3 linked regions of the Bombyx mori genome follow. The protein of the gene in region 2 purifies or fractionates together with the protein of the main gene of each other region. This does not show direct contact. Links are inferred from orthologs where the notes say so. Each region holds a gene or a part of one and is shown on either strand. Other genes may lie near its edges.

Region 1 (4,441 bases), on a different chromosome or scaffold from region 2:
GCACGGTTTGTGCATTTGCCACTACTAGTGTGGAAAAGGTAGGGAAACCAGTTTTATTTAGGAATCAATTGGAAGGTTCGAAATTTGGAAAGGATATGTACGTAATAGGATAATAATATATAATAATGCCTAAGAGTTCATAATATATAGTGATTGGGTATAAATAAAAAGAATATTATATTTTAAAACTGTTTACATTTTAATATTATTAATAATGTAGGGATTGATGTGGGAAGAGGAACTCGGAGGTTTATCAGGGAATTTATGAATGAGGAACAGTCACGTAGGAGGCATCCAAAGAAAATGTGATTCAAGTCAGGTGAATGAAGTTAGCCCCTCAAAAAATTTTTTTTTCCTATTTTATACTTATTTTCTATTAATTCATTTGTTCATGATTGTTCACTGTTAATAATTGTTTGTTCTGCATTTATTTATTTAAAAAAAAATATTTAAAAATATACCTACCAGTTAGCCCCTCTAATGCAATTTTTTATATTTTTTCATCCTTAATGACTCGTAAATATTCATTTTCGATTGTTCTTATATAAAACACGTTTGTCCTCTTTCGAAATTACTCGTTTTTTGTTTAATTTACTATTTTTATTAGTTGAATAAATGTATGCAAAATATGTGTACTGCGCATGCGTCAACTATAATGCCTAAACTTTCTACGCGGTTTTAATCGTGAAAAAAAAACAAATATAAATCCTGAAGGAGCAATTAATTGGTATACAGTTTAATTAAAAAAATTAAAAAAGAAATAAATGAAATAATGTGTATTGGCGTTAAGTTAGACCAAATACATTTTTTCCATCCTCCTACTTATCGTTATGAAGGTATAAAAAAGATAGGGAGTTCACATAGGTAATATAAACAAATAAGTAAATATGTTCATTATTTATCTTTCAAGAGATAATATAGGTATACATTATAATAACTTTTTTACACAGTCGAAATTATATTCCTAACATTAGTAAAATAACATTTTAATACGATAGGTAAGAGGATGGAAAAAATGTATTTGGTCTAACTTAACGCCAATGCACATTATTTCATTTATTTATTTTTTAATTTTTTTAATTAAACTGTATACCAATTAATTGCTCCTTCAGGATTTATATTTGTTTTTTTTTTACGATTAAAACCGCGTGGAAAGTTTAGGCATTATAGTTGACGCATGCGCAGTACACATATTTTGCATACATTTATTCAACTAATAAAAATAGTAAATTAAACAAAAAACGAGTAATTTCGAAAGAGGACAAACGTGTTTTATATAAGAACAATCGAAAATGAATATTTACGAGTCATTAAGGATGAAAAAATATAAAAAATTGCATTAGAGGGGCTAACTTGTAGGTATATTTTTAAATATTTTTTTTAAATAAATAAATGCAGAACAAACAATTATTAACAGTGAACAATCATGAACAAATGATGAACAAACGAATTAATAGAAAATAAGTATAAAATAGGAAAAAAAAATTTTTTTGAGTGGCTAACTTCATTCAACTTTGAATTACCTGTGCTGTGTTGTTTTGGTTATGTTTTGACTTTATGAGATGCATTAGTTAGAATTTACAGTAATATTAAAAGCGCCCCGATAATTCGGTTCAAGTATAACGTAGATTATATCACATCATACAAGATTTATGTTGCTCGGAAAGTTCGAAATTAAAAATTAAAATCCGAAATTTCAAAATTACCTGGCAGTTGGAAATAAAAAAATGTGCTTTTAAGAAATAAATATGCCAATTGCTTAAACAATAAGTTTCATAAAATGGCTGGTGATACCACTGCTTCTCTTGGAGGATCGCAGGTGGCTTTAGTAACAGGAGGCTACGATCATACTATCAAGCTATGGCAGGCACACAGTGGTGTTTGTTTACGAACAATGCAGCATCCAGATTCGGTACTTCATATTTTAATGTTTCGGTTATTGATCTTCTATAAATGACCAAAATGACTCAATTCATTTCCAGATAACTCATTCAAATCGCTCCGTAAATTTGCATGATTATTTTAAATTTTCATAAAAAATTGATTTGGAAATTTCGCTTTGAATAATAACGAGGGCTGAAAGGCTATTTGAATTAAGCGATATTTCGATTAATACGCGACATTTATCTTTGTAATTAAAGGTCCATTTTATTTGGTATTAACTATCACCAATTCAATGTTTTTGATTGAACATCAATTAAGCTTACTGCATCCAAATAGCTGATGGACTTTTTTTATTATGAGAATTTTAAACTTTAAATGGCTCTCCTGTAAAGTTGCAAAAATGTCCAAAAAAAGAGAATTACCTAAACGATTAAAACTGGTCACGACAGTGTCAGATAATTGTGAGCTAAGATTTAATACAAGCAGACCACTTTGTACAAATATAATTCAGATTAACATGCCAGTCATCTTTTGTGAGGTAACTTAAATTAACTTTCGTGATATTTTTACAAACTGATTATATTATGAAAATCAGCTAAAGCTTATTGCATGACGAGTTTTCCTTTCAGCAAGTGAACAGCTTGGAGATCTCACCAACATCGATGGTAGCAGCAGCTGGATTTCAGCATATACGGTTATATGATCTTAGTAGTGCCAATCCAGACCCGGTCACAACTTTTGAGGACATCTCCAAAAACGTATCTCGAGTTGGGTTTCAGGTATTATGCATAAATTCAATTAAAATTTGTTGAAAACAATATATACATGACCTTCAGGTAGATTATTTGTGACCTAGGTGTCACTGACAGTAAACTACAGGAAGTACGTGTCTTTAATATATGTCTCTAAATATTTGCCAGGAATAGAAAAAAAAATATATTTCTTTTCTCAGTTCAAAACTCATTCAGTTGAAACTGGATCTTCAGTGTCCTTTAAATATTTGAGATCTCACTGGCATAGGAATTACTATAAATCTTTGAGATTATAATTATTTCTAGGGCAACAATTTGAAAAACACACAAATTGTGTCGACATGCAGTTTTTAAACAAAAACTGATGTTAAAATCAGTTATTCATTTTCAAACAACTTTTCAAGATTGTTATCTTTTAGAAAAAAAAAAAACTATGTATATTTATGATTGGATATTTAATTTGTGAACACATCTATTACAATAAGACAAGTCATTAATTTTTTTTTTTTTTAAATTGTAACTTTGCAGAAAAATGGCACTTGGATGTACACAGGAGGTGAGGACTGCACAGCCAGGATATGGGATCCCAGGTTAAAGACGCTATGTATTATATCAACCAGTTATTAGGTAACATCATTTGTGTTTTCTAACCTTGGCCAAATGATGTTTGGAGGTTTCTCTGATGCTAGATGACAATGCAGCACCTTATATCATTCGTTATATTCGTGCTTATTATAAAAGATTCACCAACTGATATTTACTGGTGGTATGAAGATATGATTCCTGCTTTAAAGCTGTCAAGTGTAATGCTAATGGTTATGGAATAAAATCAAAATTTAGATCATAGAAGCTAATAACTATTTACACTAGGAGACCATGAGGTTGTCTGCTGATCTCTGAAATTAAACTTTAACTTTTATTGAGTTTAAAAACACAATTTACTGACTGGACCTAGAAAGCTTAGTATAGAAATTTTAAAGCGGCATGTTTCTCATGTAGGGCTGCACCACGTACAAGGTGTCAAAAGATATTCCAAGTTCAAGCTCCGGTGAATGCAGTAATGCTTCATCCTGATCAGTCCCAGATAATGGTTGGAGACCAGAGTGGCATTATACATATATGGGATCTGAAAACGGATCAAAATGAACAACTGGTAACTTTACTATATATATTTTTTTACATCCACTATCAGCTGAGAAGCTATAATACAGTATGTTGTGGTGAGCTACAAAAGTGAAAGGAACACTCTATCTCCGCATCCTATTCAGTAGTGTTCCTGCATAAAAAGCTGATGCCAACATGATATCACCAATATGCTCATAATGGATATATAGAAAGGCTACTGAGGTATTTACTAGAGAATGGCCAGTAGTATTTTCTGTATATTATAACATATTTCTGCTGTCCTTAATAGGTTGATTGATGGTTGGATGTATTATAAACCCACTTGTGTATGGACCACCATCCTACCTTTTTTTTTCCACGAAACAATCATCAGTTTTGAGCATTTATGTTTTATTGATAAGCTCTAGTAATTGATCAATCATTAGCCAAGTGCCTGTCCAACCACATAATTCAATTTAAATAAACCATGTTTATTTCATTTACATGTTACACATAAATATTATACTATTTATCCTTATTTTTGTTAGATACCAGAAGCGGAGGCGTCGATTCAGGACATAGCTATTGATCCAGCCGGCAAGATGATGGCGGCTGTTAATAACAAGGGCAACTGCTACGTGTGGTCGTTGAGCGGACAACCACCGCACCCTGTGCCCAAAAAACACATTACTGCACATTCT
Region 2 (4,216 bases):
AGGTGAGCGTCACCTTAAACGTGAGCTGATGAGCTGAAAGGGAGCATATGAACTCTGCGGAGAATAAGCGGACACGATAGGGTAGGTAGGAAAACGGGACTTACTTGGAGGCTGATGTTGGCACTATCACGGTCGTAGTGGTGTTTCTCTGCGATGGGTGGCACATACACCTTTTCACCGGTTCACACTATACCTTTTACTTAGTATCGAAAGGCGCGCGCGCACAATTTACTCAATATCGAACGAGCGTATCTCCGCGTGCCGTCATGTACCGCACTGTTATGAGAGGTGCGGGGTGCGTACGGGCGACGGCACCCGAGTTGAGCCGAACATTTACAAACGTCGCGCTGTCGCGCGAACAGTAACCAATGTTACAAAATAGTAGTATATTTTGTAACTTTTGTTTGTATGCTTTATTATATATTATGTTAAATATTCCAAAAACAAATAAATATTTGTTTTTCTCTAACAATTTTAAATGTTTTACTAAGGGTGACACATAATGACATTACATTAAAAAATGCTAATTAAATTTCTTTATTTCCAGAAAATAGAAACATCCGATATTTTTTTAAATCCCAAGGAAATAAATTGATTAAATCATTTTGGTTATTAATTTTTTTTTCCAAAAGTGCCAAAATTATAATTCGCAAATAATGGATGAATTGAATTTCTTGAATTATCAATTAAACAGAAAATTATGAATTAATAAAAGTAATTAATTATATAGAACAATCTTGATAAGACTAAAAAAACCATTTTTCACTTTCAAATTTTGCCACCCTGGGCACTTGCCCCGACTGCCCTAAATGTACACCCACCATTGGTCACAGATGAGTTAGTTACTACGCCACTGGTGGAATGACGAAGTTCGACTTTGCAAATAGTATATAAGCGTATATCACGTATATCGTATATCATACATCGTATAATATTGTAGTTCGTATATCGTATATGTAGTTCAGTTGATATACGTATATATTATACGTGTATCAACTGAGCTGCAGTTCATTAAAATACCTATACCTTTTTCAGTATTTTTATGGCTTCCAAAACAACCACACCGCTTCTGATTGTAATCGATTGTTGAAGGATAGCTACTTGATCATGAGTATGGGGCTTTGTAAGTGCTTAGTGCGAGTTTTTTAACTTCTAGATCGCGTAAAAGTTGCCTCAAATTTGTGTGGAGTTGGAACAGTTCCCCTACGTTTGCCGCTAGAGTTAAAAAGCTCGTACAAAGCACACTTTTGCTAGTTGAAAATCATCTTATGGGAATTTATAGAATTGCAATTTCATTTGCGTCTTTGACAAAACAAAAATTTCACTTAGCATAGATCATACTTAAACATTTTAACAGTTTGTCAAATACGTCAATGAATGTCAGACGTCTAAAAAAATCAAATGTGTGGATTTGTGATGTTGGTGTGCGAGGAAAACAGGGTTGTAATTTTATTACACTTTCTGTATTCAGTTAATTTATTTTAACCCTGAGAAAAACTAATTAATTAGAGCGGTGACTATTTAACAATATCGAATTTAGCTTGTGTTTTTGAAAATGAGATGATGGATTTATCCGAACACATTTTGAATCGAAGGAGAGGTAATTTATTTGTAGAAATTACATTAACGATTTGTTTAATTTCTACGTTAATGTTGTTTTCAATTATATTGACTTCGACTGTTACTATTTGCCATGCAGCATAGACTATAATTTTTCATCACATATTTTAGGAAAACCTGCAAGTGATTTGTTTAAGTTGGACATCAAGAATAGAACTCCGGAAGAGAATATCAGGGACATAATACAAGGCCTTTACGTAAGAAAATCAACACAAAATGATACATCTCCCTCCTACAAAACTGTGCCTACGGAATACAGGTCAGGATTTAGAGGCATGCACAGAAGTAGTACTGATAGCAGAAAATTGGCCTACCTGAATGCATTAGTAACATTGTTATGTAAAGAAGAGAGAAGCAACCTAGGGTTTACTCCTGATGAGTTGATGGCATGGTAAGAATTATGTATTAAAATTATATTGTTGTGACAAAATTTCAATACTGAATCTTATAAGCTCAATAAATATTCTTGTATCATAGCCGAAACTCATTGTTGTATGCCATATTGTATTGTAAGTATTTAAAATAAAATAGGGTCTTTAACAAAGTTATTGTTACTTATAATTTGTCACAAAAATCACACTAATGTCAAATTGTAAAGTTGTATATGGTTATATATATTATAATTTAAACAACTTTTAAGTTTTTATCTTACGTTTTTCATTATTTCTGATGTTTTTGTAGTCATGTATGAAAAATATGTTGTCAGCATTTGAGTATTGTTAGTCGACCTTCAACTAACTACTTTTTGTTTTTCTATAATAATATTTCCACACTAATGTTTCATTTTGCACAGAAGATATTAATAATCTTGAAGTATGTCAGTTTGTATAACTTAAACTGACTCTGAGACAGTAGATTTAATTATGCGTACAACTTATGAAAACTGAAGGAAATATTAACATTTATTTAGAGAATATGAAACATAAGTAGGTATTATTTAAAACATATTTCTTGTTTTCAGCTTGCGTATTAGTCTTGTGGATGAGTCTATGGTTATTCGAGCTGCCGCTTTAAGAGTCATACGTCACTTGTTGAAGACTGATTATGATGTCACTATTTTCAATAATATGAAATTACCCTACCTCGTTGTAAGGTAAAAAATAATAAAGCACTTTTTATTGTAAAACTCTTAAAAAACTGTGTTTTAAACTGGAGATATCTATAAAACAGTGCTAAGATGTTGCTGACCCCACGTATTTTTATTTTAAGCCTGTTTGTTTTTGTTAATTGGTTTGATTCAGTCTTTTCTCATACAAATTTCTACTGCTGCTAACATGCTAGCCGGAAAGTGATGACCATAAATAAAGGCCATATTGGGACCCGCAAAATTATAATTTGTGTAATTACTGGTGGTAGGAACTCTTGTGAGTCCGCATGGGTGGGTACTACTGCCCCGTCTATTTCTGCCGTGAAGCAGTAATGCGTTTCGGCTTGAAGGGTGAGGCAGCCGTTGTAACTATATTGAGACCTTAGAACTTATATCTCAAGGGGTGTGGCGCATTTATGTTGTAGATGTCTATGGATTTCAGTATCCACTTAACACCAGGTGGGCTGTGAGCTCGTCCACACATCCAGGCAATAAAAAAAAAGTTCATAAAATGATGATTAGTGCTTAATAAGGTTACATTACTAATAAATGTAATTGATCACAAAACTAAGCCAAGGTGCTGATTCCATAGTCTAGGATTGAGCTACTTCTCAGAGGTCTTTTCATCATTGTAGTTGCACAAATATTAACTCTAAACTGACAAGTTTTTATATTTATGTTAATATACCCTTTTCCTTTTACATACTTAAGTGTTAGTAGTATAACATAATTGTTTTGGCTATGCCAACACTACCCTCATACCTAGTATTTCCTAAGAATAGAATACCTAAAAATAGATAATTGACTGTAAAGGCAATACATACAGTTGAAAAATGAATAGATTGCATTAATCAAAAATAATCAATTTGATATAATTACTGTGTCATGTTATGAACAAATTTCATAAATAGAAGTTGCCATGTACATTGTATACACAAAATGTACATAATAGTAGAGTTAATACAAATAACAATTATTGAAACTGAATATGAAGAAAGTTTTCAAATGTGAGACTATCATGTTTTTATAGATCTATGGAAGTTATTATTCGCAATGAAGAAGAACGTGCCCAAGCTATGCGTGTTGCTCGGCGGGCGTGCACAATGAGAGCTGCAGCAGCACTTCTTCGATGTCTAGCTGCACTTGCAGCAGACCCTACAGCTGATCGACTATCCCGTCCAGCTGTGGCCACATTAGCAGAGATAAGTAAGTTCAAAATACTTAATTAAGAAGCCTTGGCTTTGGGAATTAGTAATAATAATATCCTTTATTCTGATAGACTTACTAAACAGAGTATCACTTGGAAACCAATCTTAATTGTTAACCGTTCTCTTAAACTAAATGTAAATTATAATACACACATACCATCAAACGAAATGTACTTCTTAAACATGCTTTTATTAACTTGACCTGTATCTATCTAATGTTAACAATTCAATGCAATTTTCACCAACTTTAAGGTGTCTAAAAATCTTGAAATACTTCATTTTAGTGAAATTATTTACATAC
Region 3 (4,106 bases), on a different chromosome or scaffold from region 2:
AGGCATCTTGGTCTGAGCCATCAGACCAATCAACATAAGATTTTTTCCTCCCTAAAGCATCATCAAAGTATGCTAAATGTCTCTGAATGTATAATATTCATTTTAATTACATTAATTCTTCTAATGCAGTTGGAACTGAGTCTATTCTACATTTTAAGGTGTTTAGATTATTAAGGAAAATAAACATATCATTGTTTTGTTTACAATTATATAGGATACTTAAGAACAATCATAAAGATGGGAAATAAATTAGACAAATCAACTCATTTGCTCAGTAAGCACTGTTTAATACAAATATAATATTTCTAAAGAGGTTTGAATTGAATTTGTCAGTCAAGTTAATGAATGTGATGTAATGGTAATTTGAAAAGACAGTGTAAGGGGATAACACTTTCTTAAAATTCCAATTTATTTATCTTATTGTTACCCATGCAGAAAGTTATATGTTAAAAAAGTTCATCTGCATTGCATTTGTTGCAATGCAATTTTAATCTCCCAGAAATAGTTGGTTCCTCTGCATGTTTGTTGGTTAACACAATTATTAACCAGAGCATGTGTGTGATGTGTTCTTCAAGTGTTTGTTGCATGAGTCAATAATTATGTACGACCCAAAAAATCTAAAAAGTGCAGTAGGACATGAAAGTTACATACTAAACTACTGAAAAATCACCTCAAAATAGAAGGCCATCCTATCCTGTCGTGTTCAAGAAAAAACTTGATTTATAACACAACTACACACATTGTTTTCTTGCACTACTTTCTACCAACGTATATAGCCATGTAGTTTATTAGAATTTATTATTTTAAAAACTCCTAATTAAAAATAATGTTGTAATGTTTTACTGGTGGTAGGACTTCTTGTGAGTTTACACGGGTAGGTACCACCACCCTGCCTATATTTATGCCGTGAAGCAGTCATGCGTTTCGGTTTGAAGGGTGGGGCAGCCGTTGTAACTATACCTTACTACCTACTATACCTTAGAACTCATATTTCAAGGTGAGTGGCGGTATTTACGTTGTAGATGTCTATGGGCTTTAGTAAACACTTAACACCAGGTGGGCTGTGAGCTTGTACACCCATCTAAGTAATAAATAAATAAAAGTTGAATTAAAAATAAATATGAGAATTATACTATTGGTTTAACCACGTCTATCTTCTATCTTTCAGCCCACAGACACCAACTGCTGGACATAGACCTCCCCCAAGCCTCACCAAAATGATGCAGATAGTGCAGGACCAATCGTGGTGAGGCTTGTTTTAACTACAATCTACAATTTTTAGACACTGCTTCCAATGTAGCACTATTAAATATTAGCCAATGATTACAGTCAGCAGTCACATGTGATGAGTACGAACTGATACAACATCCTCTAATTTACAACCTCATTCAGTGTACACTACAAAAATTATTTTCAACATAGATATTTCAAATTTTTTGAAAGTTTATTTTATTAATATTAGTCATAGCATCATGCGGCAAGTTCCAATGAAGTCATACTTTTAATATGTGTGACTAACATAATGAGACTTTCTAATTTATAAATCCATTTAAGTTTGACATTCACTTGCAAATTAGCACAATTATATTTAAAATTAAATTACAATAAATTTCATATGAAATAAAGACACTTGCAAAATATTGGCTGAAGGTCAAGCCATAAAAGGGTGTGGTCAACTTTAGTCCCACTGACAATACTTTTAGTGGTTCATAAAAATAATCAATAATGTACTGATTGCAGACCAACCTGTTACAATTTTCTCTATGTCACACTATGTATGTAGAGCAATATTCAATACTTAGAACCCATGATGAAATGGATAAGGATGGCCTAGGGCTTCTTTTTTAAAAATTAGAATTGAATGTCATATCTAATACCACCCATGTTTTTTGCAGATGAAAGATAGATGAAGATGAAAAATCTTTATGCACTCAATAAAATGAAGTGTAACAGTTGTGTAACAAGTCATTCATATTTCATCCATGTTGTGCATTGATAAGATTGACAATGATATTCTTCAATGATAATGGTAACTAAGGTCATTGAACCGTGGACCTTCACAGACTTTCAATTATTACTCCCGAGTTTTTCATGAGGAAGATGACAGAAAACTATGATAATACTTTAACAGAAAGCGATATAGTTAGACGAAATCGTTGTAAAACCCTAAGGAGACAGTTCCCGTGGCATCAAATTGTGAACAATAGGTGAAATCTAAGGCGCCATAAAACTACGTCATAACTAAGATGTTTCTAATGTGTCTGGATCACAATAGCAGACATACAAGAAAACCAGTGGCGCATCGATCCAGATCCTCTGACACCCGGTCAACGGTACTACAAATTCTTGAAAATCACTTTTATTGGAAACTTTCAGTCATAAAGTTGCGATTCTACAACTGAAAAAACTATCGTAACTGAACCATGAAGGTTCTATTTCAGGTTGAGAATGGATTCAGCGTTTTTGTTCATGTAAAAAACCTAAGACATCCCACCGGTGGATGACGCATCGATCGCAGGCCAAGCCTAATGAATACCATTGACTCGTTTTTCTATTATCAAATATACAAACTGCGACCTACAAGGCTATTTGCAATAGAAAATTGAAATAAATGAAATGATAATTACGTCTTGGACATAGGATATTCTCTAAAGAATCTTAAAATCGTTTTTCAATTGTCGGCGAAAATAAGATAGAATCTTCGACTGAATGATAGCATTACAGTAAAAATATATGCTTACCGTCATAGCGCTCAGCCTGCTCAGCTAACTTTGCTTTATACACATTATCTTCCCTTTCCGACATTGTGGATGACAAATGATTTTACACTAACTAAATCCGAATCGCCAGGTCACTTATTCACCAAGATGGCCGCGCCCGCCAACCGAATCCAAATTCGATCTTCAACTAAACTCCGCCCATGACGTCATAGACTAGGCAGCTTCCGTTCTACATTTGCTGCCAGATAAAAAGTAATTTAACTACTGATTTAACTGAAATGAAAAAATTAAGGAAGGTTAAATTACATTTTTATTACTACTATTCTACTTTGACCAATATAAAATAAAGTTATTCTAATAAGCTTAGATTCATGAAAGTTCAGGCAAAAAAACAAATAAAAACTGTAATTTAAAAAAAAAAAGTGTGTGTGTCCGCTCCGACGCACGACTGGAGTTTACTGGATATAAAAAATTAAACGAAACAATACGAGAAATAGTTCTATATTACGACAACACGATACACTACAGATTATTAACAAATTAACGAGACACAAAACAAACGACTAACAAATATATGAAAATACAATAATGAGAGAAACGCGCGATCAGTATAGTAACCGGCAAACATCGTGAGCAAATGACCTTGACTGCGCAGAACCGAATTTTAGATCACTTTGGTGGTGAGGGTGAGGCGCGACGGCAGGGGAAATCGTATCGAGCGCGTTATTGGTAGATCAGTCGAACCTTGCGTCCCGCACCGCGCCTTCGTTCCGCTTGCTCCCAAAAGTACGCTTGCGTACAGTGAAAAGTCTATCGTTATTAATCGTTAATAAATTTTGTTATAATTGCTTGTTGACTTTGTTGCCATTGCTATTTGTTGAGTATTTGTTGATTTTTTATAAAAAATACACTATGCCGCGACAAACTTGTGTAGTATTCAAAAGAAAGGGCAGAAAAATTGTGTACGACGTATATTGCTTCATTATAAAACAGGGGAAGAATGATATTATGAAAAAGTAAAACAGACTTCGGAAGCAACAAAAACATCAGTGAGTACTGTTAGGTGCATTATTAACAAAGAAAGCTAAAGGCTCTGGCTTGCTCGTCGTGCTTGGGACTCCGGGTAAGAAAAGATCAGGGAAGAAGAAAGTTACCGGAATGGATAGTTTCGTTCAATCTGTAATAAAAAGATGTAATCATAATAACTACATAACAAGCAGCGAAACTCCGTACCGTAGAAAGGCTTCGAAAATTTTAAAGAAGATATACATTTTAATAGCTCGGAATGAAGTTTACGACGAATTATGAAAGAGCTAGGCTTCAGATGGAAAAAAAAAACAGAAAATAATCGGAAGCTGGTAATTGAAAAAAGTAACATTCGATTAC

Evidence for each region.
Region 1: the proteins of rapamycin-insensitive companion of mTOR (region 2) and target of rapamycin complex subunit lst8 purify together in Homo sapiens (affinity purification with western blotting; 14 studies listed by BioGRID and IntAct, with this or other methods). This does not show direct contact. The link is inferred for Bombyx mori from reciprocal best matches to the Homo sapiens genes RICTOR and MLST8.
Region 3: the proteins of rapamycin-insensitive companion of mTOR (region 2) and Ywhae purify together in Homo sapiens (affinity purification with mass spectrometry; 4 studies listed by BioGRID and IntAct, with this or other methods). This does not show direct contact. The link is inferred for Bombyx mori from reciprocal best matches to the Homo sapiens genes RICTOR and YWHAE.

What each region holds. Positions count from the first base shown.
Region 1 is NC_085114.1:11,954,713-11,959,153, reverse strand, and holds the start of target of rapamycin complex subunit lst8, read left to right. Parts: upstream 1-1,506; 5' UTR 1,507-1,780; coding exon of another isoform or gene 1,781-1,912; 5' UTR 1,913-2,239; coding exon 2,240-2,422; intron 2,423-2,513; coding exon 2,514-2,663; intron 2,664-3,164; coding exon 3,165-3,226; intron 3,227-3,635; coding exon 3,636-3,789; intron 3,790-4,288; coding exon 4,289-4,441.
Region 2 is NC_085128.1:9,698,397-9,702,612, forward strand, and holds the start of rapamycin-insensitive companion of mTOR, read left to right. Parts: upstream 1-1,358; 5' UTR 1,359-1,560; coding exon 1,561-1,600; intron 1,601-1,731; coding exon 1,732-2,011; intron 2,012-2,581; coding exon 2,582-2,713; intron 2,714-3,737; coding exon 3,738-3,913; intron 3,914-4,216. UniProt on the Homo sapiens protein: Component of the mechanistic target of rapamycin complex 2 (mTORC2), which transduces signals from growth factors to pathways involved in proliferation, cytoskeletal organization, lipogenesis and anabolic output.
Region 3 is NC_085122.1:14,131,445-14,135,550, reverse strand, and holds the start of Ywhae (14-3-3 epsilon protein), read right to left. Parts: upstream 2,917-4,106; 5' UTR 2,806-2,916; coding exon 2,742-2,805; intron 1-2,741. UniProt on the Homo sapiens protein: Adapter protein implicated in the regulation of a large spectrum of both general and specialized signaling pathways. Binds to a large number of partners, usually by recognition of a phosphoserine or phosphothreonine motif.